Linked DNA regions of Mus musculus: regions 1, 3, 4, 5, 6 and 7 are each reported to be linked to region 2. Evidence: microRNA targets listed by miRTarBase, many of them from high-throughput screens and not tested one by one. Region 2 holds a microRNA gene; each other region holds the end of a gene's coding sequence.
Evidence for each region. Region 2 holds the annotated microRNA mmu-miR-466g (AUACAGACACAUGCACACACA, at 1,221-1,241, opposite strand). A microRNA usually pairs through its seed, bases 2 to 8, with sites in the 3' UTR of a target mRNA and lowers its output. Matches are read on the target gene's strand: a 7mer-m8 pairs with bases 2 to 8, a 7mer-A1 pairs with bases 2 to 7 and ends in A, and an 8mer does both.

Region 1: miRTarBase lists Tapbpl as a target of mmu-miR-466g. Seed matches in the 3' UTR shown: 7mer-A1 at 2,876-2,882.
Region 3: miRTarBase lists Mrpl11 as a target of mmu-miR-466g. Seed matches in the 3' UTR shown: 7mer-A1 at 2,674-2,680.
Region 4: miRTarBase lists Mpv17 as a target of mmu-miR-466g. Seed matches in the 3' UTR shown: 7mer-A1 at 3,008-3,014 and 7mer-A1 at 2,543-2,549.
Region 5: the mRNA of Marchf2 is a reported target of mmu-miR-466g. The part of its 3' UTR that is shown has no 7-base or 8-base seed match.
Region 6: the mRNA of Pbld1 is a reported target of mmu-miR-466g. Seed matches in the 3' UTR shown: 7mer-A1 at 2,455-2,461.
Region 7: miRTarBase lists Spesp1 as a target of mmu-miR-466g. Seed matches in the 3' UTR shown: 7mer-m8 at 3,487-3,493.

The regions. Positions count from the first base shown.
Region 1 is chr6:125,221,423-125,225,490 of GRCm38, forward strand. It overlaps Tapbpl (TAP binding protein-like), which reads right to left. Exons shown (of 7, transcript NM_145391.2): 6 at 3,442-3,528; 7 at 2,783-3,287. The coding sequence ends at 3,244. Vamp1 (vesicle-associated membrane protein 1) reads left to right here. Exons shown (of 5, transcript NM_009496.3): 5 at 1-884. Among named protein-coding and RNA genes, the nearest start is that of E130112N10Rik, 7.8 kb to the right of the region's middle.
Region 2 is chr2:10,511,815-10,515,882 of GRCm38, reverse strand. Mir466g (microRNA 466g) reads right to left here and starts at 1,288; the gene lies at 1,209-1,288. All of the region lies in intron 10 of Sfmbt2 (Scm-like with four mbt domains 2), which reads right to left. It overlaps Mir466d (microRNA 466d), which reads right to left and starts at 3,916; the gene lies at 3,821-3,916. It overlaps Mir669m-1 (microRNA 669m-1), which reads right to left and starts at 3,093; the gene lies at 2,996-3,093. It also overlaps Mir669m-2, Mir466n, Mir669o, Mir466h and Mir297a-3.
Region 3 is chr19:4,964,093-4,968,160 of GRCm38, reverse strand. Mrpl11 (mitochondrial ribosomal protein L11) reads right to left here. Exons shown (of 5, transcript NM_025553.4): 5 at 1,166-3,487. The coding sequence ends at 3,382. Among named protein-coding and RNA genes, the nearest start is that of Mrpl11, 3.8 kb to the right of the region's middle.
Region 4 is chr5:31,138,207-31,142,274 of GRCm38, forward strand. It overlaps Mpv17 (MpV17 mitochondrial inner membrane protein), which reads right to left. Exons shown (of 8, transcript NM_008622.6): 8 at 2,457-3,644. The coding sequence ends at 3,575. Ucn (urocortin) reads right to left here and starts at 689. Exons shown (of 2, transcript NM_021290.2): 1 at 591-689; 2 at 1-327. The coding sequence starts at 314.
Region 5 is chr17:33,688,529-33,692,596 of GRCm38, reverse strand. Marchf2 (membrane associated ring-CH-type finger 2) reads left to right here. Exons shown (of 5, transcript NM_001252480.1): 5 at 444-1,092. The coding sequence ends at 602. Among named protein-coding and RNA genes, the nearest start is that of Hnrnpm, 5.1 kb to the right of the region's middle.
Region 6 is chr10:63,075,845-63,079,912 of GRCm38, reverse strand. Pbld1 (phenazine biosynthesis-like protein domain containing 1) reads right to left here. Exons shown (of 9, transcript NM_026701.3): 9 at 1,953-3,564. The coding sequence ends at 3,452. Among named protein-coding and RNA genes, the nearest start is that of Pbld1, 16 kb to the right of the region's middle.
Region 7 is chr9:62,268,754-62,272,821 of GRCm38, forward strand. Spesp1 (sperm equatorial segment protein 1) reads right to left here. Exons shown (of 2, transcript NM_025721.2): 2 at 1,976-4,068. The coding sequence ends at 3,672. Among named protein-coding and RNA genes, the nearest start is that of Spesp1, 11 kb to the right of the region's middle.

The DNA.
Region 1 (4,068 bases), not on the chromosome of region 2:
CTCTATTCCTTCTGTGCTCTGGTCCACAAACTGGAGGAGGCAGGGCCGTGCTAGGCCGGGGGTCCACTTCCCACGCAGCAGCCTTTCGTTCTGCAGAGCCATCGATCCTTCCTTTCCCTTGGCCCATTTTCCACCTTCCCTTCGTGCTGCCTCAGGGCAGGGCTGAAGAGCTGGAAGAAAGCAGTCAGTGTAGCCTCCCAATGTCCCCCGAAGGTCTCCACTCTGCTCTGGGCTTCCCTTTGCCTAGTGCAGGGAGCCATCTCTGGAGAAGAAGCAACACTGTCCTTGGTGTGTCCCAAGCCTGGAGCGTATGTTCCCTGTTGGCCCACCCAGCCCCAGCACGGGAATTATTTCCTGGGTTTCTGTCCATCTAAGGCTTAGGTGTAGTTGGCATTCGTTCTTCTGGGGGTGTTAGTCCTTCTACTTTCTATCTCACCTCACCCTGAACCCCCTTCTGTGTCTCTGCAGTCTTCTCTCCCTCCCACCACCCATGTGCATGAGCAAATATGCAGCTAACCCTGGGACTTTGCAGTCAGTTGAAGCCAAGCTTCCCACATCTCCTCTTTGTTTGCCATGGGATGATGTGGGGCTTCCATCGTGTCTGTCATTACCTCTGTCTCTTTCCTAACCCAGTCTCACAGTTTATGTATAGTAGTAAGAGTTGTACTTCCACCAAAGGCATGTGACATATTTACCAATCTCATGTATTCTCAACAAAGGCGAAAAATACAAATTCCTACCACAACATTGACTTGATTGTTGTTTGGGCTGTGCTGGGGAGGGGGAGAGGAAGGTGGTGTCCTATGTTGGCTCTAGGCCAGAAGGGCTGATGTGTGTATTCTTTGTTCTTCCTGGAGATTAAAGTCTCTGTGTTGGCAGCGGAAGTGGTCTGTGTCTTAGCCTTCATACCTGAAACAGCCAGGCTTGCAGGTGCTGGTGAGAGGAAGTGCTGACAGGAAGCTGAGTGGGCACCAAATGCTAGCAGACAGCTGCAGGCTTTCTCAGCCCCTCCCAGGCCTCTCCACCTGCTTGTCACCTCTTGGGGGAGGCTTCCAGCCCGTACCTCCTTGGTCCTCATGCATGATTTGTTCCCCTCTTCAGCTTCATTTCTATTTTCTTTAGTTTTTCAAGACAGGGTTTCCAGTGTGCCCCATTGTGCTTGCCTTGTAAGTAGATTCTCCATACTAATTCTTCTGAAATAGCAAGTTCACTTCAAGATCTAGTTCTGTTTATTGTATGCGTGTGAGTGTTTGCATGTATGTATTTACAACATGTGTGTGCCTGGCATCCAGATCCTCCCCAGAGCAACCAGTGCCCCAGCCACGGGGCCATCTCTGCAGCCCTTCCCCCACCTCCTTTTAAGACATTGGTCTGTTCCTAATGTCTGCAAAAACTAGCTTCTAAACCCAGAAAACCTTCCCCCCACCCACGAGACAAGGTTTCTCTTTGTTGCCCTGGCTGCCTTGGAATGTACTCTGTAGACCAGGCTGTCATCAAACTCAGAGAGATCCCCCTGCCTCTGCTGCCTGAGTGCTGGGATTAAAGCATGCACCATCATTCACAACTTAATTTTTAAAATCTTAATTTAGGGCTGGAGAGTTGGTTCAGCAGTGAAGAGCACTTGTTACTTCTGCAGAGGACCTGGGTCCAATTTATAGCAGCTATATGGAGGATCACAACCTCCCACCCCGACCCCAGCCCTCTGTGTGTCCCCGGGGATCTGACACTCTCTCCTGGTACCAGGCACACAGGTGGTGTACATACACACTTGCACACAAAACACTCAACACACATAAAATGGTAAGATAAATAGATCTACTAAAGAGAACTCTCAGAGGACCTAGGTCTCGTTTGCAGCACCCACATGGCCACTAACACCTGTAGGTAGCTACAGTTCCAGGGGATCCAGGGCCCCGTCTGACCTCTGCAGGCATCTGGGTGCGTGTGGTACACATACACACAGGCACACTCATGCACAGATATTTTTAAAGATGCATTTGTTTTTATTTTATGCATATACCTGTTTTTCTAGCATGTATGTGTGAGTACTACATGCATGTCTGGTGCTTTAGGAAGACAGAAGAGGGCGTTAGACTCCTGGAATTAGTTACAGATGGTTGTGAGCTACCATGTGGTTCTGGGAACCAAATCCAGGTTGTGTAGAAAATCTACCAGCGCTCCTATCCACGGGTTGCTATCTCTCTAGCCCCCCACTTTACTTTTGATAACAGACATCATAATTCATGGTCTTTATAGGCTCGGATGCACTGTATCCATAAGGTATTTCATAGCAGTGAGCACAAGGAAGCTCTCGTGCAGCTGAGGGAGTGTTGTATAACTCTCCCAAAACTCCTGGCAGCTGTCTGAAGGGTCAGAACCCTAATATCTGATGATGTAACGGTGCAGATGTAGCCCAGGGCCTCTGCTTCGTACCTTGAAACAACGAGTTGGGAGTTGGAGCAGCTAGGAATGTTTTGGAACCAACAGGGAGAGAGAGAAGAAAGTGCGCTGTAGTCACAGCATGTTTTTATTTTGACAGTGTTGGCATTCATGAGTGGTCACAGCCTCTCCCGCTTCCCTCACTTTGATCCTTTTTCTAAGAGAATTTTTTTACATCTGACTTTTTTTTCATTTACTCATTTTACATTCCAATATCAGTTCCCTCTCTCCTTCTAGTACCTCTGCATGAAGACCCACCCCCATTCCTCCTTCCCTTTCTCCTTTGAGAAGGAAAGCCCTTTTTAGGTAACCCTCCCCTGTGTGTCCCCCCACCCCCGATTTCTTTTTTTTTCTTTTTTATTAGATTTATTTATTTATTATATGTAAGTACACTGTAGCTGTCTTCAGACACTCCAGAAGAGGGAGTCAGATCTCGTTACAGATGGTTGTGAGCCACCATGTGGTTGCTGGGATTTGAACTCCAGATCTTCGGAAGAGCAGTCGGGTGCTCTTACCCACTGAGCCATCTCACCAGCCCCCACCCCCGATTTCTTAATACCTCACATAGATGGTGTTAGCTTCCACTTTGATAATTCTGCCATCCTCTTGTCCTGTCCCTTTTCATCAGCCCAGGGCTCTCTTCTCAATAGCACAGAAAGCAGAGACTTGTACAGTCCAGGGCCAGTACTGCACTCCCAATGTGCTGGCACCTTCAGGCCCAGCTCAGCCCCACACCTCACACGGGGTCCTTTAAGTAGCCAGGATGTGGAGTACTTTACTTTGTATTCGGAGGCAGGCAGGCGGCTACCCAGAATGCCTCATAGGCCTGGTGGACCTTGATGAAGAAGCTGAGAGAAAAACGGAACAAGATTGTTTTCAATAGGGATAATTCCAAAAGCAGATGTTGGGGGTATGGTAGAAACATCTGGAACTCAGCACACTGGACTTCATCCCTGGTTTGGGTGGGCAGATACCTGAGAGTAGGTTGATCTACAAACTCACCTTGCTGTCTGTGAAGTCCCAGAAACAACAACAGCGCAGAAAGGAAGATGATGCTGGCAAAGATGACTCCCAAGGTTCCTCTCTGCTCTGTGGGTGAGAATGAACACAAGACCACATGCTGAGCCCTCACCCTCCAGTACCCCTCCCCTTAGGAGGGGAGCTCTGGCCTGGGTGCTGTGAATCCTCACGGAAGGACGGGAGCCTGCCCACGCAGCAGCACTGCACTTGTTCAAGACTCTCAAGTTTGTGTGTTGCTGTTCTGCCTCTTACTCCATCGGGGCTTTGTTATTCTGAGACAGGGCCTCATGATGTCCAAGCTGGCTTTGAACTTAGGAGTCCTGCCACAGCCTTCTAGTGCTGTGTTTATAGGCACACCCCACTAGACCCTATTCTATCTCAGGACATTTGAAAATGTTTTACAGAAGAGAATGAGGCTATCTCAGTGACTACCAGCAAATAGCTGGGGAATGATGTGAGCCAAAACAAAAGGCAAGCTTTGGGGAAGCTCATAGTCTAGCGAGCAACCAAATAGGTCTGGAGCTCTTGGATATTTCATTGTGAGGTGCACATCCTTTCCTGCCTGAAACTGCAGCATTCTGTGGCCTTTGGGATGAAGTGTGTGTAGAT
Region 2 (4,068 bases):
TGTGTGTATGTATATGTATATTCATATACACACATGCACATGCACACATACATATACACACAGGCACATACACTGGGGGCATCACTAGAATCCGAAGCTGATCCTGGACTCATGAATTTGAGAATGAATTTCCACTCCTGATCCTCCTGACTCTGGCAAGCATTTTCACCTTGTGAGTGAGAGCACCCACTGATCCAGCCCTGCATAATCTCTAAAACTTTAAGTCACATGTCATTTAAAAGTATCAATGAGTGCCATTCGGGGTATGTGTGTGTGTGTGTGTGTGTGTGTGTGTATGTGTGTGTGTGTGTGTGTGTGTGTGTGTGTGTGCCTGTGTGTATGTGTTTGTGTGTATTTATATGTATATTCATATGCACACATACATTAGCACACAAAACTATGCAACATGAACATACACTGGGAAGGAACCCATAAAGCCAGGCTGATCTCTAAGCCATTTTGAAGTTATTCATAAATTTGAACTCCTAATCCTTCTGAATATGGGAAGCTTTTTCACATTGTGAGTAAAAAGTTTCATTAGCCCAATACTACATAATCTTTAAAGCTCTATGTCACACATCATTCAAATGTATCAATGAATGCCATTCCATGTTTGTGTGCTTGCATTTACATGTATGTTTATGGTATGTATATTTATATACACACATGTGCATACACAGGGACGTAAACACACATGCACATACACGGGTGGCATCACATGAATACCAGGATGATGTCCAGCTGAAGTTAAGCATGAATTTGAACTCCCGACCCTGCTCAATCTGTAATATGTTTGCACATGGCGAGTGAGACCGTTCACTGTCCCACTACTGCATAATCTCTAAAAGAATAAGTCACATAGCATTCAAATTAATGGATGAATTCAATTCCTCTGTGTGTGAGAGTGTATGTGCTTGCATTTGTGTGTGTGTGTGCGTGCGTATGATATATATATTCACATACACACAAGCACATGCACACACAAATATACACACATGGACATACATGGCTGAGAATCACATGAATCACAGGCTGATCTTAAAATCATCATGAAGTTAAGCATGAATTTGAACTCCTAAAACTCCTGATTCCAGCATACATTTTGACCTGGAGAGTGAGATCACGCACTGTCCCAGAACTGCATAATCTCTAAAACTCTAAGTGACATATCATTCAAATGGATCGATGAGTGTCATTTGTGTGTGTGTGTGTGTGCCGCATGTGTGTGCATGTGTCTGTATATGCAAAATCATATACATACATCCACATGCACACACACGAAAACACACATCGACATAAATGGGTGGCATCACATGAATGATCTATAACTGAAGTTAAGCATGAATTTGAAATCCTGATTAACCTGACTCTGTCAATCATTTACACCTGGTGAGTGAAACCATTCACTGTCCCCTATTGCATAATCTCTAAAACTCTTAAGTCAGTTATCATTCAAATGGATTGATGAGTGTCATTCTTGTGTCTGTGTGTGTGTGCTTGTGTTTATACGTGTGTGTGTATGTTATGTATATTCAAATACACACATAAACATGCACACACAACTATACACACATGCACATGCATGGAGGAATCACAGGCTGATCTCTCATGAGGATAAGTATGAATTTGAACTCGGGATACTCTTAACTCTAGCAAGGATTTTCACCTAGAGAATGAGAGCACTCACTGGCCAAGTACTGCATAATCTCTAATATGCTAAGTGACATATCATTCAAATGGATCAATGAGTGGCATTCGTGTGTGTGTGTGTGCTGCATGTGTCTGTACATGTATACTCATATATATACATTCACATGCACACACCTGTAAACACACATGCACATACACGGGTGGCATCACATGAATACCAGGATGATGTCCAGCTGAAGTTAAGCATGAATTTGAACTCCTGATCTTCTTGAATCTGCAAATTGTTTACACATGATGAGTGCGACCATTCATTACCCACTACTACATAATCTATAAGACTGTAAATCACATATCCTCTGTGTGTGTGTGTGTGTGTGTGCACGCACGCGCATGCAAGCGCACATGCACGTGTGTCTATGTATGCTCTCATGTATATGCATATTCATATACACACATGTACATGTACGCACACACAAACACACATGCACATACACAGGAGCCATCACATGAATGCCAGGCTGATCTCCAACTCATCATGCAACCAACATGAATTTACACTCTTGATCATCCTGAATCTGGCAAGGGTCTTTACCTTGTGAGTGAGAGCATTCATTGGCCCAGCACGGCATACTCTCTAAAACTCACATGTCACATGTCACATGTCACTCAAAATGATCTATGGGTGCCATTTCTGTGTGTGTGTATATCTGTGCATGCTTGTATATGTTTGTGTGGATGTATATGTATATTCATATACACACATGCACATGCACACAAAACTATACACACATGCAAATATATTGTGGGGAACCCCATAAAATCAGGCTGATCTCTACTCTCTTTTGAATTTATTTATGAATATGAATTCCTGACCCCTCTGAATATGGCAAGCTTTTACATAGTGAGAAAAACTTTCATTTGACCAGTACTACATAACCTTTAAAGCTCAAAATCACATATCATTCAAACATATCAATGAATTCCATTCCTTGTGTGTATGTGTGCATACGTGTGTCCATATACATGTATGTTTATGTTATATATATATATATATATATATATATATATATATATATATGTATATATATATATATATATATATATTCATTTACACAGATGTACACGCACACACATGTAAACACACATGCACATACATGGGTGGCATCACAGGAATACCAGGATAATCTCTAACTGAAGTTAATCATGAATTTGAAATCCTGATTCTCCAGACTTTGTCAATCATTTACAGCTGGTGACTGAGACCATTCACTGTCCCACTACTGCAGTCTCTAAAACTCTAAGTCACCTATCATTCAAATGGATCGATGAGTGCCATTCCTGTGTGTGTATCTGTGCTTGCTTGTATATGTTTGTGTGGATGTATATGTCTATTCATATACACACATGCACATGCACACAAAACTATACACACATGCACATACATTGGGGAGGATCCCATGAAGCCAGGCTGATCTGTACACCATTTTGAAGTTACTCATGAATTTGAACTCCTGATCCATCTGAATATGAAAAACATTTTACTGGTAAGTAAGAAGTTTCATTGGCCAAGTACTACATAATTGCTAAAGCTCTAAGTCACATATCTTTCAAACATATAAATGAATGCAATTTTTTCTCTGTGTGTGTGTGTGTGTGCTTGCATATACACATGTGTTTATGTTATGTATATTCATGTCAACACATGCACATGCACATACAAGTAAACACACATGCACATACATGGGTGGCATCACATGAATACCAGGATGATCTCTAACTGAATTAAGCATGAATTTGAAATCTTTATCCTCCTGACTTTGTCAATCTTTTACACCTGGTGGGTGAGACCATTCAATGTCCCCTATTGCATAATCTCTAAAACTCTACATGACTTATCATTCAAAGGGATTGGCGAATGCCATTCCTGTATCTGTGTATGTGTGCTTGCGTTTATACGTGTGTGTGTATGTTATGTATATTCAAATATAGACATGAACATGCACACACAACTATACACACATGCACATACATGGAGGAATCACATAAATCACAGGCTGATCTCTAAATTCTCATGAGGATAAGTATGAATTTGAACTCCTGATACTCTTAACTCTAGTAAGCATTTTCACTCTAAGTCACTTATCATTCAAATGGATTGATGAGTGCCATCCCTGTGTGTGTGTGTGCGTGCGTATCTATGTGTGCGTGTATGTATATGTATATTCATATACACACATGTACATGTACGCACACACAAACACACATGCACATACACAGGGGCCATCACATGAATGACAGGCTGATCTCTACCTCATCACGCAGTTAACATGAATTTGCACTCCTGATCACCCTGACTCTGGCAAGGGGCGTCACATGGTGAGTGTGACCTCTCCCTGGCCCAGTCATACAGAATCTCTA
Region 3 (4,068 bases), not on the chromosome of region 2:
CACCAGCCACACCAGCCTCCAGGGAGAGTGGCAACCAATGGTTCTCCCCAGATACAACACCATGAACAACCTCAACAAACAGCAAGGCGGAGCTAAGGCTGCAGTAGTGGCGCCTCTTCCTCGTTGGTAACCAAGGATTCTAATTGGACTTAAGCCCCACTCAACACGAGGGAGACAACGCCTGGAATGGGTAACTTAGCCAACTACTCGGAGCTAGTGAACCCATGGGTCTCGAGTAGAGTCTACAGCCACTACTTTACTAAACCAGCGTAATCCCTAACCAAAGGGAGACGTTTGTTCTTACGCCCACAGATAGAGTACTCCTTACCCCTTAGCGAGGAAACTTCTCTTTGTAAGACAGAAACCAGGACAGAAAATCGCAACCAATCAAAATAGAGTTGTGGAGGCCAGCACCAATGGGCGCATCTACGAAACATTCTCCAGCTAAGGCTCAGGGGACATTTCAGAAGAGGGGTGAGAATGTTGTAAGAGCCAGAGGACGAACGAGGAGGTTTACCGTAAGACTGTGTCTTCCAGTAGTTGCAGAAGCTATACTCGAAAGCCTCCCCAACATGACTATCTAAATATGAGCCAAACAGCGACAGCACAGCGGACATGCCAAGGGGGGTGAGGGACGCCGGGAGGCCCCGGCCTGACACACAAGCAAAGGCAGCTAAGGAATGCTCAGTCTTCCCTCGGGACGAGCATGCCAGCTGGTTAGCCAGTTCCAAATGGCCAGCTCTGAAAACCTACATACAAGTAACATCACACAGGCTGAGCAGGACGTTAGAAATATATATGTAGGGCTGGTGAGATGGCTCAGCGGGTAAGAGCACCCGACTGCTCTTCTGAAGGTCCTGAGTTCAAGTCCCAGCAACCACATGGTGGCTCACAACCATCCTTAAGGAGATCTGACTGGTGTGTCTGAAGACAGCTGCAGTGTACTTACATATAATAAATAAATAAATATTTAAAAAAAAAAAAAAGAAATATATATGTATATACCTATATGCAAAAGGTAACTGATGAAAAAAGAGGCCATGAATGTAAGAGAGCAGAGAGGGGAATAGGAAAGGGTTGGGAGGGAGAAATAATGTAATTATATTATAGTCTCAACAGTAAGAGGTAATAGTGTGTAAAGACATATACCTATATATAATAGATTATACACGTAATAAAAGTTTTAATTGTATTAGTAAACAATGTTGAACTATTAATACTATGTGAAAATTTGACTAAATTGTTCAGAATGTTAACAAGCAAAAAATAATGCCCAGCATGCAACACACGGCAAACACAGACTTCATCTTTCCTGTCAATTCTGCCTCTCTTCTGAGAGAACACTTGATGTTTTGTAGAATGGGAAAACAGGAGGTCAAGGGCCCCCAAGGACTTCTCAGGCAGGTCAAGGGCCCCCAAGGACTTTTCAGGCAGACCAAGGGTCCCCAAGGACTTCTCAGGCAGACCAAGGGTCCCCAAGGACTTCTCAGGCAGACCAAGGGTCCCCAAGGACTTCTCAGGCAGGTCAAGGGTCCACAAGGACTTCTCAGGCAGGTGTCTACTGGAATTTCACTTATGTAGGTCTGGGCTGTGATTCGGCTGTTCTCCCTGACCCAGGGTAGATTCACAAGCTTGGCAGAGGCAGAGCTGAGAGGGACACAGTCCTGGCTCTGGCTGAATGAGGCCCTGGGTTTCATCTCCAACAGCATTAAAACAAAACAAAACAAAACAAAAACAAAAAAACCAGCAAGTTTTGTTTTATAGATTTACTACGTAGTGTTTTGCCTGCATGTATACCTGCAAGCCAGAGGAGGGCACCAGATCTCACTATATATGGTGATGAGCTACCATGTGGTTGCTGGGAACTGAACACAGGACCTCTGGAAGAGCAGCTAGTGCTCTTAACCTCTGAGCCATCTCTCCAGCCCCAAATGGCAAGTTTTAAAAAAGCAAATAACCAAACTTAGTAAGGAGCCGGGTGGGGTAATGCACACCTTTAACTGGAGCACTGAGAGGTCAGGCTGTAGCCTAGCCAGCCAGTTTCAGGCCAGCCAAGGCTAAATAATGAGATTCTGCCTCAGAAACAATCATGTCAACTCAGCAGGGAGGCCTGAAGCTGCCCCTGGATAAAGGATAACCCTATCTGTGGTCTGAATTCTCTGTCAGGCTCCTGCTTCTCAGATACAAACTCCCCAACAGTTATACTAAGAAAAGACAAGCAACACAGCCAAGCCTTAGTGTCTGTGGACCCCATCGACTGTGCCTTCTCTCATCCCCGAGGGAAGAGCACAGGCTTATGTGCTCTGAAGTGTTGGGAATAGAAGTTGAGGCTTTGTGTAAGGAGCAGCTCCATCAGGAAACAACATCTTCAACCCTGAACATAGGATTTCTCCCTGGGCTCTACTCCACTTGTACCTACTCAGAGCCTGAATGTTACGACACGTGCCCCGGAGGCTCATGGGCTGAAGGCTTGCTTCCCAGTGTGGAAGGTGGTGGAATCCTTAAGAAGTGGGGGCTATGCCCTGTATGGTGGTGCAAGCTTTAGTCCCAGCAATGTGGAAGGCAGAGGCAGGTGGATCTCCGTGAGTTCAAGGATATCCAGAGATCCTATCTCAAAAAAGGGGGATAGAGTAGAGAGATGGCTCAGGAGGTAAGAGCACTTGTTTGTTGCTCTTACAGAGAACCCAGGTTCAACTCCAGGATCCACATACTGGTTCACAACTACCCATAAATCCAGCTCCAGGGGATCCAATACCCTCTTCTGACAGACACCAAGCATGCACACAGTGCACTCACATATATGCAGGCAAAACAGTCACATATAAAATGAATAAATCAAAGTGTGGTCTGGCGGAGGGGTCTGGGAGTCCAACCTTCACTAATGTTGGCCTTAAGGCGGGGACTGGTCCAGGTGAGGCTACCTCACACAGATGGCCCTATGTATGTGACTGTTTCCACTGTACCATGCTGTCATACAGCAAGTGAGCCTTGCCATACTCCAGCACCATGAATCAGAAGCCAAATCAATACCTTTTCTTTATAAAGCACCAAGCTTTGGTTATTTTGATATAATACAAGGCTGACCAAGGCACTGGGCATGATAATTTGCTTGGTTGAGGCTGCGTTCACCTGTAGGGCAGCTCACACCTGTGAAGGCTGGGAACTGTCAGTATTGGTCCCCATCTCTGGGGTCTCAGGAGAGAAGCTGAGAGTTGATGACAAAGGATATTTATTCAGGCTTGATCCCCTGGCACAGCAAATGTACAGAAACATGTCAGGAAACTAGAAATCGGGTTGCCATGAAGTCCTTTGGCTCAGCTTCCTCTGTGGCCCCCTTTCTCAGCCTCTCACTTCAAATTCTCAGAGTGTAGAAAGTTGGGGTCACTTCTTGGCAGCTTCTGCCTGGGCTGCCAAATCTGCCTCTTTCTGAGCAGCCAAAAACACAGCTCGTTCCTTCTGGAAAGCCTCCAGTTCTTCTGCACTGAGGCTACAGAAGGAGACAGACAGTCAGTGAGGAGCGGGTCCTGGCGCAGATCCCAGCTGCCCTGTCCACTCCCCTCCCTGGACTTTCCAACTGTCATACCTCTACTCATCTGTGGTTTCTCTTCCTGGAACCACAACTCACACACGCTACCTTCCTCTGCCTTGACTCTGTCTTAAAGTCCTACCTAACCTGTGGCCTCTATTATACCATTGGGATTTCTTAGGCCTTCCTTTGAGCCACAAATCTACATACTTTAAGGATTTAAACCATCCAGGAAAACTGTGCTCTAACCTCACCCCCGTGAGGAACAACTGACGCCAGTCTTGCTGTAGGGAATGACACCAGCAGCAAGCGGCCAGTGATGACTGTCCCTGCTCCTGTCTCTGCTGCGCTCTGGGGCAAATGCTCTCCTACTTGACAAGGGAACCTTCTGACTCGTCCCTCCCTCAGGCCACATCCCATATGCCTCTAGACAAGACTCCTCGACCAGAGTGAACTTAGCTTCAGCTCCTTCCCTCTCCTTGTAATCTTACGCTCTCTTACCCTCCTTTTCCTGGGCAGTTTCCATGTCACCTCCCTCAGAG
Region 4 (4,068 bases), not on the chromosome of region 2:
CTCTGTGTCCGAGCTAGCTCCAGCAGGGTCCGCAGCAGGTGGAAGGTGAGGTCGATGGACAGTGGAGGGTCGTCCCGTCGCTGCCGCTCGCCCGCAGGCTCAGATCCTGCGCGGCGCGGGAAGCGCTCCGCTAACAGCAAGAGGAGCGCGCGGACGCCGCCGCCCTGATTCCGCACTCCAGGGCTCCATCGCAGATTCGGATCCTGGACCCCAGTTGCCGCCGCAGCCGCTGGGCTCCACTGGCTGCTCTCCGGGCGAAGCTGTGCCAAGAGCAGCAACGCCACCAGGAGCGTAGCGCGTCCCCTCTGTATCATGGTGCCGCCTGCCCTGGACACACAGGGGCAGCATAGGGTGAGGTGCACTTGGAGCAGCCGCAGGTAACACGAGCCCCTTGGCGCGCACGCCCAGTGCCCCTGCCGAGACCCTCCAGCTGTTGCCTGGTGTCCACATCCTGCCCACCAGCCCTAGGCGCTGTGCCAGTCCAGTTCCACCCCTCTCTCCCTCCTTCCCTCCCGGCAGGTCACAGTGGGTGGGCTGAGTGCAGAGTCTTGGTGGTAAGGGAGTCTGGATCGTTGCTTCAAGCCACTCACAGGTTATCGGAGTGTCTGCCCAGTGCAAGATGGAGCTCCACTCTGTCCCCGGGGACGGGCTGAAGACGCCTTGGGGAGCACGGGGTCTGTCCCGGGACCGCCGCCAGCCTTATATAGCACCAGGACAGCTCCGACTGACGTCAGCGAAGAACATGAACTGATTGTAGAAACAATGACACCGGCAGCTTTGAGTCCAGCAGCTTCGAGCCCCCAGAGGGGTGCGTATCCTGACTTTGTGTCCCTGGAGCTATCTTTGGAAGCACCCTGGCTGTAGAGGGAGAAGCTGGCAGAGCCATAAAGATAGATCTTCCGGATGCAGAGTCCTTCCCCGACACAGAACCACCAATGTCTCCAGAGCAGGAATAGTCAGGGGTTGTTTCTCTTCTCAAGTAGAGAGGGAGGACTGTGGAGCTGTCCGTGGTTCCGAACTTCTTCACAGCCACAATCTGGACAGAAGTTCTGGGGAGAAGCCTGGGCTGCTTAGACACGGTCCCTAGGCCGGCTACTGGGTCCTCAAATTGAGATCAGAAATGCTCTGCTGGCAGGGGCTCAGACAACACAGTCCCACCCAAAGGCTCTCCAATACAGTGGGTCTGACCCATTCTACTGACCATTGTACAGCAGTACAAACTAAAATCTACAGGTGTCAGAATGGCATAAAAGGGTGTTTGGCTTTCAGAACTTAACGTACCTCCTGAGTTTGGCAAAGTCAGCTTTTTCCTAGGAAACACAGAAACAGTACTATTATACCTTTTTACCTTCTAGGTCAGGAGCTGGGGTGGTGCTGGTGCACTCCTTTAATCATAGCACCCAGGAGACAGAGGCAGGCAGATCTCTGAGTTTGAGGCCAGACTGGTCTACTGAGCTGGTTCCAAGACTACACAAAGAAACCCAGTTTTGAACACACACACACACACACACACACACACACACACACACACACACACACACAAACACACACACGAAAACGAAGAAATCACTAGGTAGAAGTGAGAAAACTTTGGCCCAAGTTCCTCCTCTGCCACCAGCTTGTGTAGTCAGGTCCCTCACTTCTGAAACCATTGGCGTCTGTCTTTGTAAATGAACAGCCTCTGCTTCTTTCCAGTTACAGACAGGTCTGTGCTCTTCTGAAGGGTCTTATTCATAGCCACTGCAGATCCCAGATAATAATGTATCTATTTCTGTGCCTATAAAGTCCCTGACAGGGTCTCGAAAGGCACTAGGACCTAGAAAAGTTAAGCGTGATAGCCACTCTAGTCTAGGGATGTTGCTTAGTTGTTAGAGCACGTGACTAGCATCCACAATGCTGAGTTCAAGTCTCAACTCTAGACAGGAAGTTGTATCTATACAGAGTGGGGACGTGTGCTAGCTATTGGGACATAGGTGTAAAGTTGGCAAGGTCATATTATTCTACAAATATCTGTGAGGAATATACTATGTGGTGGGAATGTAGACAGTCATGCTGCATAGCAACCTTTTAGTCAGTGATGGCAACACACAATGGTGGCTTCAGATAATCATAGCGGAGCTGAAATATCCCTACCACATAGCAGCATTAGTTCTTATGTCTCAGTTTGGTGCATTATTCATGAATCTGCAATAATGCTGGTGGAAACAGACCAAGCTGGCAGTAATATGGAAGTATATCTTGTGCAATTATGTACAGCGTATACATCTTAATGACAGTGTTCTACATATGAAAAAGCTCTCTGTAAAACAGTATACCATGTCAGACTGGCAGCAGAAAAATACACCACATGCTTGTGCACGAAGAGGCCATGTTGAGCAACTGATTGTTACCATCTGCATAAGTATACTCCTTATGTGTGCACAGTGACAAAACTGCTAAAGACACAATTCTTGTTTGATTTTAAAAAAAGATTTATTTATTTAATGTATATGAGTACACTGTAGCTGTCTTCAGACACACCAGAAGAGGGCATCAGACCCCATTACAGATGGTTGTGAGCCACCATGTGATTGCTGGGACTTGAACTCAGGACCTCTGGAAGAGCAGTCAGTGCTCTTAATCACTGAGCGATATCTGTAGCCCAAGACACAATTCTCTAATCCAGCATTTGAGAAGCTGAGAAGCTGAGGCAGGATTGTCACTAGGTTGAGACTGACACAGACTTTCATTTTTTTTTTTTTGGTTTTGTTTTTTTGTTTTTTTTCCTGACACAGGGTTTCTCTGTATAGCCCTGGCTGTCCTGGAACTCACTCTGTAGACTAGGCTGACCTTGAACTCAGAAATCTGCCTGCCTCTGCCTCCCAAGTGCTGGGATTGAAGGCATGTACCACCATGCCTGGCTTCCAGGACACAATTCTATATTAATTAATTAATTATTAATTAATTAATTAAATATGAGTACACTGTAGCTGTCTTCAGACACTCCAGAAGAGGGCGTCAGATCTCTTTACAGATGGTTGTGAGCCACCATGTGGTTGCTGGGATTTGAACTCAGGAGCTTCTGAAGAGCAGTCAGTGCTCTTACAGGCTGAGCCATCTCTCCAGCCCCCAGGACACAATTCTTATAGTGTGTCCCCATCAGCTAAGGGCCAGAGTGACAGCAATATTATAAATGTCTTAGTGGTTAAAGTGAAATGTGCCACTTCAGAGTGGTCACCCTATTCTGATCAGCAACCCCATAGCATGGAAGCTGACACACTCCTTCCTTTTAAAGATTTCATTGTGTGCTTAATTACAAATGCGTGTCTATTCGTGGGTATATACATGTTTGTGCAGGTGCTTCAGAGGCCAGAAGAGAACATCAGATCTCCTGGAGCTTGAGACATAGGGAGTTGTGAGCCACCCGATGTGGGTGCTTGGAACCAAATTTAGGTCCTCTGTAGAGCAGATAATCCGTGCTTCTAACAGCTGAGTCACCGCTCCAGTCCTGATGTGGTTAGTTTGAAGAAGCTGTCCAAGCATTCCAGGGTCACGGTGCATCAGTACAAGGTGCAAACCATGGAACAAGGCACGCTTAGAACTGATGTGCCTTCCAGGATAGGTAGGAGTTCCAGACAATAGCAACACACTGGACAACAGCCAACCTAAGGGACAAGAATGCTACTGTGAAGAAGAGAAGGAGCAGGGTAGGGAGAGCAATGGAAAGGACTTACGCAGGAAGTTCCAGGTTTGGGCTGTGTTCCTCTGAGCCCCATGAGTAGGGACTGCAGCTTCAGACCAGGAGACAACCAGTTCAGTCCTGCTCTATCTCAGAGCTCCGCCTGTCAGATGAAGGCCTCACAGCTCACTCCTTTTCCTTATTAATTTTGTCTATGTGTGTATGTATGCACATGAAAGTCAGAGGACGACTCTGGGGAGCCGGATCTCTCCTTCTACCATGTGGGTTCCAAGGCATGGGCTCAGGGCATCAGGTCTGGCAGCAAGGGCTCTCACCCACTGAGTCATATCACCCATCCAGCAGCTCTCTTTCAATAAATGACTCGTCTACCTAGACCTTTCCAAATATAT
Region 5 (4,068 bases), not on the chromosome of region 2:
TTACATGGATGCTGGGGATTTGAACTTATGCCCTCAAGCAAGTTCTCTTACCCATTGAGCCATCTTCCCAGTCCAGTAAATGCACCATCATTTTTATCCTCTTACCTAAGAAGAGACACCTTGGTTGCTTCCAGGTTGGGCAATTTTGTGATTGGTTGGGGTTAAATAATCCCAAGAGACTGTTAAGGCTCCATTCTCATCAACTGTTAGAGTCATGCTCCCTCCTGGGATCAAGGTGGTAGATCCCTCATGTTTACAGGACTCGGAGCGTATCAGAGTATCCTCAGAGGACCGAATGGGTGAGTGTATGCATAGTATTCAGGAAATGCCCAGAGGTGGCACTGCTTCTAGGTTTGGCCCATGACAAATGCCAGGGCTCCCTTTCCTCCCCAGGGTGGAGGCCTGTCTCTACCTCCCCACCCACTGCAGGACTGCCCCCGCAGGTCTCTTTCCGATACCATTGCCAGCTGTACTCGGAATGGAGGAAGACAAATCAGAAAGTCCGCCTGAAGATTCGGGAAGCAGATGGCTCCGAGGATCCACATCACTCCTTGCTGGCTACTGGACTCTTAAAAAAGGTGGCAGAGGAGACCCCTGTGTGAAGGCCTGGCTGGCAGGGCTCAGAGGTAGTAGACAGACCAGAGTCAGATGGCAATGCAGCTGGCATTTGGAAAGATGGAGGCTGCCTGACTTTTCATGCACAGCTATGATGCTTCTCAGGCCCGTAGCCACAGCCAGCAGAGCCTGCTCTGTGATCCCGTGTGAACATATTTTCAAGGGTTTTGTTTTGCACATTGTTGTATATGACAAGCACAGATGGACAGATTTGAGCTTTGGATGGAGTAGGCACCTCTGTCTCATTTTGAGATCTGTTTGACACCTTTTGCACAGCAGCTTTAGCGCTGGTGTCAAGGGCGCCCGTTGGACTAGAAGGTTCCAGCAAGCTTCTTGCGTTACTCTGCACCTAGCTGGCTTGCTTTACTGGCACTCTTGACTTATAATCTTATAAAGTTGCACTGCATTTCAAAAACCCACCCCTGAATGAATAAAAGGAGCCCTTGCTGGCTAATATGGACGCATCAGTTATGTTTCTAAGCTGTTCCAAGCGAGTGATTCTGTGGGGGCACAAAGTCTAAAATGCTTGGCTTGTTCTGTGGGGACTGTATGAAGCTTCTTTTCTTCTCTTCTCTTATTGCTATGATAAAGGACCTGAAGTGGAGGGACAGAGATGGCTCAGGGGTGAAGAGCACTGGCTACTCGAGAAAAGGACTGGGGTTTAATTCCTAGTGCTCTTCACAGCTTGTAACGGTCTCCAACTCCAGCTTCAGGGGATCCAGTGCCTCTTTAGGCTCCCATAGACGCTGCTCACATATGGTGCAATACATAAGTGCAGGCAAGATACTCATACACATAAAATACAGTTTTTTTTTAAAAAAAGTAACTTAGCCCTGGGACTAAACCACCACTCAAAGAAAACACGTGGTGGGACTCATGGCTCCAGCTGCATATGTAGCAGAGGATGGCCTAGTGGGTCATCAATGGGAGGAGAGGCCCTTGGTCATGTGAAGGTTCTATGCCCCGGTATAGGGGAATGCCAAGACCAGGAAGCAGGAGTGGGTGGGTTGGGGAGCAGGGGTAGGCGGGAAGGGGATAGGGGATTTTTGGAGAGGAAACTAGGAAAGGGAATAACATTTGAAATGTAAATAAAGCAAATATCTAATTTAAAAAAGTAATGTAAGGGAGAAAGCACTTAGTTTTAGCTCACAGCTACAGGTACAGCCCCTCATGGTAGGGAAATCAAGGCATAATTAAGTTGGGTATTTCTATATCAATCAGTACAATCAAGATGATCCCCATAGTCATCCCCCGAGAGGTTCATCTCACAGGGGACTCTAGATTCTGTCAAGTTGACAGTTAAATCTAACCAGCATGGAAGCCTAAAGAAAAAATAAAGTCAGAGTTGTTGTTTTTGTATTTTTTTTTTTAAATAAAGACTAGGATTCAGGACCTTGGGAGACAACTCAGTAGTTAGAGGGCTTGCTACACAAACATGAAAATTTCCCATCTCTATAACCTATATAGATCAGTAGTGTGTGTGTTTCTGTCCTCTAGGAAATCCTAGTAGCAAGCTGGCTAGCTAAACTAACCATATGGGCAAAGCTCTAAGTACAGTTGAGACACCTTGCCTTAATGTATAAGGGGGAGAAGATGAGTGAAGACACCAACATTAGCCTCTGGCCTCTGCATGCACATGCACAGGTTTGAACAGGCATGCACTTGCACATATATGAGGGAAAAAAATAAAAGAACAAGAAATGAGGTTAGCTTATTTTTTATTATCATGTTAAAATGTATAATAATAATAATAACTATTATTATTATTATTATTGTTATTTTGCTGGAAGAGGTCAGAAGAAACCTTACTAGTAGAGCAGAGTCTCTCCTACCTTCATGTGGGCTCCAGGGATCACACTCAGGCTATCAGGTTTGCACAAGTGCTCTCATCCATTGACAACCCACCCCCCACCCCCGCCACTGGCCTGGGCAGGATTTATGGTGAATGATCTTTTAAAAATATTTTGTAAAGATTTTATTCTTGTGTAAAAGTGTTTTGTTTTCCCTGCATATAAGTGAGTGTTCCATGTGTATGCAGTGCTCAAGGAAGCCAGAAGAGGCCAAGAGATTCCTTGGAACTAGATGGAGTTAGAGATGGTTGTTAGTTGACATGTGGCTGCTAGAAACAAAACCTCTGTCTTCTAGAAGAACAGCAAGTGCTTTTAACCACTGAATCATCTCTCTGGCTACAATAAATGATTTTTTAAAAGTTATATTAAGCTGGGTATGGTGGCGCACGCCTTTAATCCCAGCACTCGGGAGGCAGAGGCAGGCAGATTTCTGAGTTCAAGGCCGGCCTGGTCTACAAAGTAAGTTTCAGGACAGCCAGGGCTATACAGAGAAACCCTGTCTCGAAAAAAAACCAAAAAAAAAAAAAAAAAAAAAAAACCACCAAAAACCAAAACAAACAAACAAAAAAGTTATTTTAGCTGGTGATATAGTTCAGTGATTGAATATTTGAATAACAAAGACAAAGTTCTGGGTTAGATTCCCAGGATCATTAAATAAATTAAGTTTTTAATATAATTTTAGTGCACACATACACAGAAACACACACACAGTCTCTGAGTAGCTCTGGCAGGCTAGAATTCAAAGAGATCCTCTTGCTTCTGTCTTCTGAGTGCTGTAATTACTAAAGGTATGCATCACCATGCCTGGCAATACATATATTCTCTCTGTCTCTCTCTCTGTCTCTCTCCCTATGTATATAATATATATATGTTATTTATATATACATATATATTTTTAAATGCTACTGGGGATTGAATTTGAGCTTCACATAGTCTAGGTAAATGATCTACCATGGAGTGATATACTCAGCAACAAATGACTTTAAGAGTAAACCAAGTTGGGGGTGGGTGTGTGTGCTGAAGAAATGGCTCAGTGGTTAAGAGCACTGGACTGCTCTTTTATTGAAGAGGACCTGGGTTTGATTCTCAGGATCCATGTAATGGCTCACAACCATCTGTATCTCTAGTATCAGGGGATCCAACTGATACCAAGGATACACATGGTACCAAGACACACAGGTAGGCAAAACACCTGTACACATAAAATAAATCACAAAGGGCCTTTTGTGGTGGTGCATATCTTTAATCCAGCACACAGATTTAGAGGTAGGCAGGCAGATCTTTGTGAGTTCGAGGGCAGCCTGAAATACATAGCAAATTCCAGACTTCCCATGGCTTCATAATGAGATCATGTCTCAAGGTAAAATAAGCCATGTGTGGTGGCATATACCTTTAGTCCCAGCCAAGAGGCAGAGGCAGTAGGAGCTCTTTGAGTTCAAGGCTAGCCTGGTCTATATAGGGAATTCCAGAACAGCTTAAATATTTTATCTTAAACAACAGTGACGACAATGGTAACAACAATAAAACAAACAAAAAGCAAATTAATAATAATAATAATAATAATAATAATAATAATAATAATAATAAAAACTTGACAGTATAC
Region 6 (4,068 bases), not on the chromosome of region 2:
GCCATCCCACCAACACCAAATGTATACCTAGCCCAAAATTGGAAGCCAGGGAGGTCAATCACAACAGAAGAAAACATAAACAAATTGTAGTGCAAGACCAAACATGTTCCCTCTTAACAGAGCCTAGCCAGACCACTGTACATATATTGGTGTATGGAGTCTATTCCTGCTGGAGGGCATCACTGTGATTAATTAGCATTGCCAAGGGAACTCCTTAATATTGCATAAAATAAAGTTTGTTTTGGTTCCCCCTTTAAAAAAAAAAAAAAAAAGATAGGTTTTCCGTGGCCTCAGCAACCCAAAACGTGCTGCATACGGTTTGCATGTTTAATTAGCGATCCTTCTGTGTCTGCAGTTAGCACCATGACAATTAATAAAGTAACTCCTTTAAAGCTCCATTTAGCTAGCGGAGGTGCACGGCCAGGTATAATGAACTCATCATGAATAAGTCATGGCTGCTTAACTATCTATTTGTTGCTAACACTTTACCCAACAGCTCCCACCTGAGCACAGCTAATGTCTCCAAGCCAGGCCCCGCTGGAAGCTGACAGTAAACCAACTCCTAGGAAGTATGCTTTTAAGCAGCAGGTATATGGTGCAGTCAGGGATCTTCTGAGCTTAGATGTCATCAGAGGTGACTGTCCTGGGAGCCGTGTAAATGGCTGATACATCTGGAAGGCCCAGGGCAAGGTGGGTCTCAAACTAACCCCTCACCTAGAGATCTTGTTAAAAGTCAAAGTATCAGCCCCAGACCGCAGCGCTCCAGACACAGGTGATCTGGAACAGTGATTTTGCTTTTCTAGCAAGTTCCCACATGGTGCTGATGCTGATGGAGGGATCGCTCTCCAGGAGCCCCCTCCCCTTTCTCTTGTGCTAGGGATGACTTACGATTTCTGGGATTCCCGAGTCCTTTCTATAGATTCTAACCGGTTTGGTGTAGTTTTTGGCATTTGAAACTGGGTCTCCGGAAGCTCGTGCTGACTTCAAATTCACTGGCTGCATAGCTGCAACAGGCCTTAAAATTCTGATCCTCCCGCCTCTGCCCGACTAGTGCTGGGATTAGGGGTGTGCACCCCTGTGCCTGACAGAATGGCAGTGAGTTTCCACAGTCCTCGGTCTCACTTACCACCTTGTTTGAGGCTGAGCCTCTCTAGGTGTTTGCCACTGTACCTTCTATGCCAAACTAGTTGGCCTGGGAGTTTCGAGGTAGGTGGGGAGGGGTGGTGAATGGGGACGGAAGGATAGGGGTCAGTGAGAGGTGGATTCTTTCATCTTGACAAATGAATGTGGGGACTCCAGCCACTTGTCATTGTGTGGATTACAGGTATCCAAAGCGGCAAGGGCTTTACTTGCTGGACCACCCCCAGCCCACACAAAGGCATCCTTTCTTCTGTTCATTTTCTGAGATTCTCCTAAGTTTTAGTGTAGATTGTTGTCTATACGCAGATGAGGGCAAGTAAAATATAAGGCTAGATTCTGTGATTGGACAGTGGAAAAAGAAGGTGGGCTGAGAGTTTTGCAGAGAAACAGAGAGACAGACAGAGACAAGGAGACAAGATGGAACCTATAGGAGAGGTAGATGAGCTAGATCCACGTGGCTTGAAATGGCCACAGGTAGCTATGGATAGCACAGAAGAGCCGTAGAGTAAGATAAGGCAATTGGTCCAATCAAGGTGGGCAGCTTGTATCAATAACTCGCGTTTTGAGTTCTTTGAGTGGGCATTTTGGGGGTTGAGAATTTACTGTTATAAATCTGACTGATCAATTACAAGCACGAATAAAGAGTTTTCTTTATTCGTGGCTGGGGGGGGGGGGGTTAGAGACTAGCCACAAGGGACAGATGATTGGGAATTTGAGCAGTTCAGCAGCAAGCGAGCCGAGCGAGCCTCGGGGAAGTTGGGGATAGCCATGGGGGAGGGGAGACCACCGTGGCTGGAGAGTAGCCGGAGACAGAGTAGATTGTTTTTTAATAATTACAACAGATGACATCCAACATATAAAGTGAAAAAAAAAAGAAAATTATTTTTATTACATTTATTTGTTTGGGGTATGCATGTATAGGTGTGGATGTGTGCATGCTATAGCACCTATGTGTACGTAGGTCAGAGGACAGCATGTAGGAGTTGGATCTCTGCTTCTACCATATGGGTCCCAGGATTCGAACTCAGGGTGTCAGCCTTGGCAGCAAGCGTTTCAGCCACTCAGCAAGCCCCCAACTCTTTTTTTTTTAGCTCATTGAAATTACTCTACGTTGTCCCCCAGCATGAACTGTTTCATTTTGCTGACCTCACAGCCCATACGGTCCTACGTACCCCAGCCCTGCAGCACAGCCTCCAACAGTTTTCAGTCTACTCATCTTTCCTAGTATTTTTTTTTTTAAAGATTTATTTATTTATTATATGTAAGTACACTGTAGCTGTCTTCAGACACTCCAGAAGAGGGAGTCAGATCATGTTACAGATGGTTGTGAGCCACCATGTGGTTGCTGGGATTTGAACTTCGGACCTTCGGAAGAGCAGTCGGGTGCTCTTACCCACTGAGCCATCTCACCAGCCCCCTCATCTTTCCTAGTATTATTACATCAGGAGATGGACTTTTGCATGTTGCTCAGGACCATACCCTGAGCCAAGCAACTTCCATCTTCAGGAGTTCAGCTGTGCGCACTTGCCAAAGATCATGCCAGCTGGGTCTGGCGACTGTTTACATCTCCTCATAGAGGGATGGGGAGATCACGGGGCCTCCTCTGAGAACCCAGCCACTCACTACCTCCTATGTATGCAACATTGCCCTAATTGCACATGGCCTCAAAGAGGCTGGAGGACACAGGCCAGCAGAGATTAGGGGAGCTGGGCTCCATCTGTGCCACTATAGGAAGGTCACCATTGATGCTATGTAAAAGCCCTTCTGGTGCCACATTTTAGGGGATGGAACCCACACCGCTGTAAGGAAACCTTCACCTCTGCTCTGTAAAGAAGTCTGATAACTCATTGGTGCCCTAGGGGAGCTTTGGTGGTGGTGTGCCTTGGTTGGTCTTTGGAACCTTAGGGGGCGGAGAGAAAATGTTTTTTGGCAACACAACATTCTACACACCTATTTATTCTTCTAAAGGGCTGTGAAATGCCCTAAGGTACCCATACCTCAATTGAAATGGCATTCTCTGGCTCCTTATCAGTGCACCTCTCACTTTGATTGGCAGTCATGATCAAAAGAAGGGGCAGCATCCCTATCTGCTGTGGGGACTGAAGATGCACACACAGGCAGAGTTCAGAGCCCACCATCGGGAAAGGATTCTGGAGACACTACCGCACCTCCATCAGGTGTCTTCCCTTTTGGGTTCACACGACGACTGAACCAAGCTCTGTGCATCTGCTGTTGAGTTGGGTTGGGTCGGGTTCTGGGCTCTAGAGAAGACACTTGTGGAACAGTGGCCCCAAGCCCAGCAGGAGCATCTCTAGGCGGTCAGCGTGCCCTCCAAGACAATAACAGCTCCGCCCTTTATGTCAACGCGCCCATCAGGTCGCAGGGAAATGTCCAGCTCCCCTCCTCGGCGGGAACACTGAAAGGCTGAGGAGAACACAACCTGGTGCCAATCAAGAGCATTTCCCCTGGGATTTACCACCCAGGGCAGGGTTGACTATAACAAACCCAAGACGCCTCCCAGGCCACTTTCCAGGATAAATGCCCCCCTCCCTGTGTCCGCGGCCCCTCCCACCTCCACCCCATTCTCCTGCAGCCCCAGAGTTCCACACACAGTGGCACACACACTGCCGGACCTTCCTTCCTGGGCCTCTGAGAAGGTCCCACCTTCAGCTCTGATATGAATAGAGTGAGTTTGTTTCTTCATTGCATATTAAAGCAGTTGTATGTGCCAGGTCACAAAAGAGGCACAGCCCTAGTCTTCCAGGGGCTCAGAAAGTCATTATACTCACCCAAAGGAGAGAAAAGGGGTTGTCCTTCTCAAAAGTTACATAGTAAGCTAATTATACTCATCAAGCACTTATTAAGCACTTATTTGTGTTTGGGGAGGCAGGGGTGAAGAGGGCTGGGAGTGGGAGATCATTGAAGGGG
Region 7 (4,068 bases), not on the chromosome of region 2:
ATAGCAAATGTTTTTACTTGCTGAGCCATCTTCCCAGGCCGCAAATCACAAACTCATAAACACAACTAAGACTCCGGAGCATTGTGTATAAATACACGAGGAGACTGAAAGAGCGGGACATGCTGGTTGGTGCCCTCTGTCCTGTGAAGTATATGACAGTGTTTCCTCCCACCTGCCCCAACAGCAAGAATATGTTACATCAAAGAGAATGAGGCTGATACCAATTGTCAGTATATGCTCATCAACTGTAACAAATGTAGCACTCTAAAGCAAGTTGCAGAGGATGAAGAAACCGGGGAAGGGCAGCTGCCTATACCCCCCCCCCCTCACACACACACACACACACACACACACACACACACACACACGAATTGGTGGCAGGAGGATCCTAAGTTCAAGGTCATCTTTTGCTATATCATGTAGCCATTTGGAATACAGCCCTGGATATTCTATCTCAAAACAACAGCATAATAATAGTCTCTGAAGTCATCTTTAATTTTTTTAAAAATTATTCCATGTATATACAGTGATCTGCCTGCATGTATGCATGCAGGTCAGAGAGGGTGCCAGACCTCATAGTTATGAGTCACCATGTGCTTTCTGGGAATTGAACTCAGGATCTCTGGAAGAACTGTCAGCGTTCTTAACCTCTGAGTCATCTCTCCAGTCCCTCATCTTTGATTTTGTTTTTAAAGAAAAGTATCTAAGCATTTGATATATGGACTATTGAAGAATCCCATGATAGATTAGATATTTCTCTTTGTAGAGTTGTTTCAATTTTAAAAATCATAATATCAACACTTGATATTACCAGATTAATTTACTTAGCAACTATCTAAGTAATGGCCATCAAAGTCTGAAAAATAAATGCTCAGCCAAATGAAGTAAGGAAGCACTGTCTTGCCAAGAAAGGAGAAAACATTGCAAGATGAATCAGTGGACAAATTGCCCGCCACACAGGGCACACAGGTCTGACCTTGGCTCCCAGCAATTCATGTAAAAACAAAAACAAAACAGGTGCAGGAGGTGTACCTATGACCCAGAGCTGTGGAGGTGGGGACAAGATCCTTGGGGCTCAAAGGCCAGGCAAGTTAGCAAACCAGTCAGCCAGGTTCAGGGAGAGACCTTGCCTCACAAAGTGTCTGGAGGACTTGGAGAAGGGCGGTTCTGAGTTAAGAGCATCTTAACTTTGCTGCTCCTGCATGGGACCTGGGTGTGGACCCCGGGATCCACACTTGTCTTCATAAGCACCTGGAACTCCACTTCTGAGGCATCTGATATCCTCTTCCGTCTCTGCCAGTGTTAGCATGCATGTGGTGCATGTACATGCATTTGTGTGAACGCTCACACGTAAAAGAAAATCTTTTACAAAGGAAAAATGTCTAGGGAAATGACTGAGAAAAATACCTGATGTCAACTTCTGGTTTCCACATGCATGCACACACATGTACACACACACACACACACCATAGAAAAAGGGAAGGAGGAAAGAAACAGGAGAGAGAAGAAAGCAAAAACATAAGCTTCACACTGATAAAATGCTTCTAGACTAATTCACTGGATTACAAAAAAATACAGAGTAGGCTGGACCAGTGGCTCAGCAGGTAATGAGAAATACTTGCTATTCTTCCAGAGGAGGCAATTTGATTCCTTCCCAGCATCCACAGCAGGTGGTTCAGGACTGTGGATTCCTCCATCTCCAGGGGATCCGACACCCTCTTCTGTCCACTGGTCTCACACACACACACACACACACACACACACACACACACACACACAATAAATAAACAAAAGTGAATTAAGAAAATACAGAGGACAGGAAAACAGACTAGCAACAACCTACGTGCAACACCAGATCCATGCTGTGGGAAAGGATAGCGCTGATGTCCATTTTTCCAATAAAGAAGTTTCAAGTGGAGGGGGAGGGGAGAGTGGAAAGGATCTTTCGATTAAAAGAGAACTCTGAGTCCAGTCAGGCAGTAGCAATGCGTGAACTTTATTTGATCTTGATTCATACAAAGAAACTCCAAATTTCCCATTGTCTAATCACTTTATAAACATTGACTAGATACCATTAACTGCACGTGATGGTATTGTTATGAAACATTTGCAAATGTTCTTCAAAAGCTGAGAGAGCCTCACGTGGTGCAGCTAGAGATGAAATGGTCTTGAGGATCCAGTTGAGCATACAGGAAGTGGGGTAGCATAGGGCTAGACAGACAGAGACTACTGCCCATTAGAACACGACTGTTCACACTGGGTAATGACTCTGTACTGTTACCATGTTACGGCTCACTTTTGCAATGCTTGAAGTTTTTCATAGTAAGTTATTTTTTTAAAAAAAGCACGGTGTACAGTGGTTTTGTGAAAGCAAACCTCTGTATCACTTTATACCACAGTCTGGTCACCGTTACTCCCCCAGTCACTGGTTCTGTTTGTTCTGGCTTTTGTCACTTCCTCCCATGTAATCCAAGGCAGATCTGGCTCCAGCACAGCTCCTGTCCACCTCAGTCTGCCCCTAAAACTGTAGCCAGAGTGTTACATTTAAACACACTGGTTGGTGTCTGATACAAAGCCGAGCACAAGATAAAGGTGAAATGGTTAATGCACAGCACAAAGCCTGCCAGCTTCTCTCTGGCCTTCTGTGCCTGCTCTGTCTTGGAATATTCTCTCTGGCACTTCTTGAACCTTCTACCCTTGGCCTCAGCTCAACACTTACACACGTTCTTCCTGTGCCTGCAGTATTCTCTTCCCCCAAGCATATCTCGTCTCTCAGACCTCCCCTCAAATGCCACTCGCCTAAGGCTACTTCTCTTGATATTCTAGATGAAGTTAGACAGCTACTTCTCATAATAGCTCGTCCCAACTGAAAATTTAAAATATGGAAATCTTTGTTCAAAGTCTAGCTTCCCTGTTATACTCTCAAAGAGAGAGGGACATAGCTCTTCACTCTATCCCCAAAGCCTAGCATTTTGTTCTAGCAGAGGGTCAATAAATCTTTATTGATCTGTAAATGACTAGCTTGAGTGCTAGTGAGAGCCTGAGTGCTAAGTAAATGAACTTGAATATAATACTGGCCAAGTCATGAAACAAAACTGCACTTTCGTTATTATATTGAATGTCTAACTTAACCGGTATCAGTCATACTTGCTATCAAAAGATTGTAAATCTTTAATGTGTTTGTATGCAAGGCCAGGGAGGAAATTGTGAGGATGGCCTTCATCACAGATCCAGTCCCCCATAATGACCCCAGTACATCACCCACTTTCCAAAGAAGCAACATGCACCCACATGGGAGAGTTCCGACATCAGCCTCAAGTGTACCATTCATACAGAAAACGCAGATGCTCTGAAAGTGGGTTCAAAACTGTAAGCAGTTCTTTTAACCCTGACCCAGCCCAAGCAGCCTGTGAACTAAGTAGAAGCAAATCCAAAACACTGTAAGGCCAGCTCTTCACAGCTTAGATTAGTGAGAAGAAAAAAAACTACAGACTCACAAAGCAAATTTTTATTTTAAAATTTTTAGGATTTTAGTGCATATGAAAATATTTTATGATATGACATACAAGGATGTTAGCACATGGAAAATATTGTAGAAAATATTTTAGGCAACTTTAAAAATCACTATGCTTATTTTCCTGTGAACAAGTCCTTTGCTTACATGAGTTTGGTCATGGGACATTAAGAATATTTAGGATTTTCATATTATTGCTTAACAGCTTCTTAATGAGGCTTTGCATTTCTACCTGATCCACACATAATATTTTTCTCAACTCAGCATTCACGACGGAAGCCTTTTCTCTCAGCTCTGATGGTACACGCTTAATATTGAAATAATCTGACAACTTGGACCTGGAGTTGTACAGCATATTGATAATCATTTCCATGTCATTGTCTGGGTCGCTGGTACGTCCCTCTGGGAAGACGTTAGATCCGTACATCTGTTCCAACTTGTGCTCGGCGGCTGCGGCCAGGGCCAGGCTCCGTTTCAGGTGCTCCCTGGAGGCCTTGATGAACTCCTTGAACTCGGGACTATTATTGCCACCAAGAAGCCCCTGCTGAATCTCC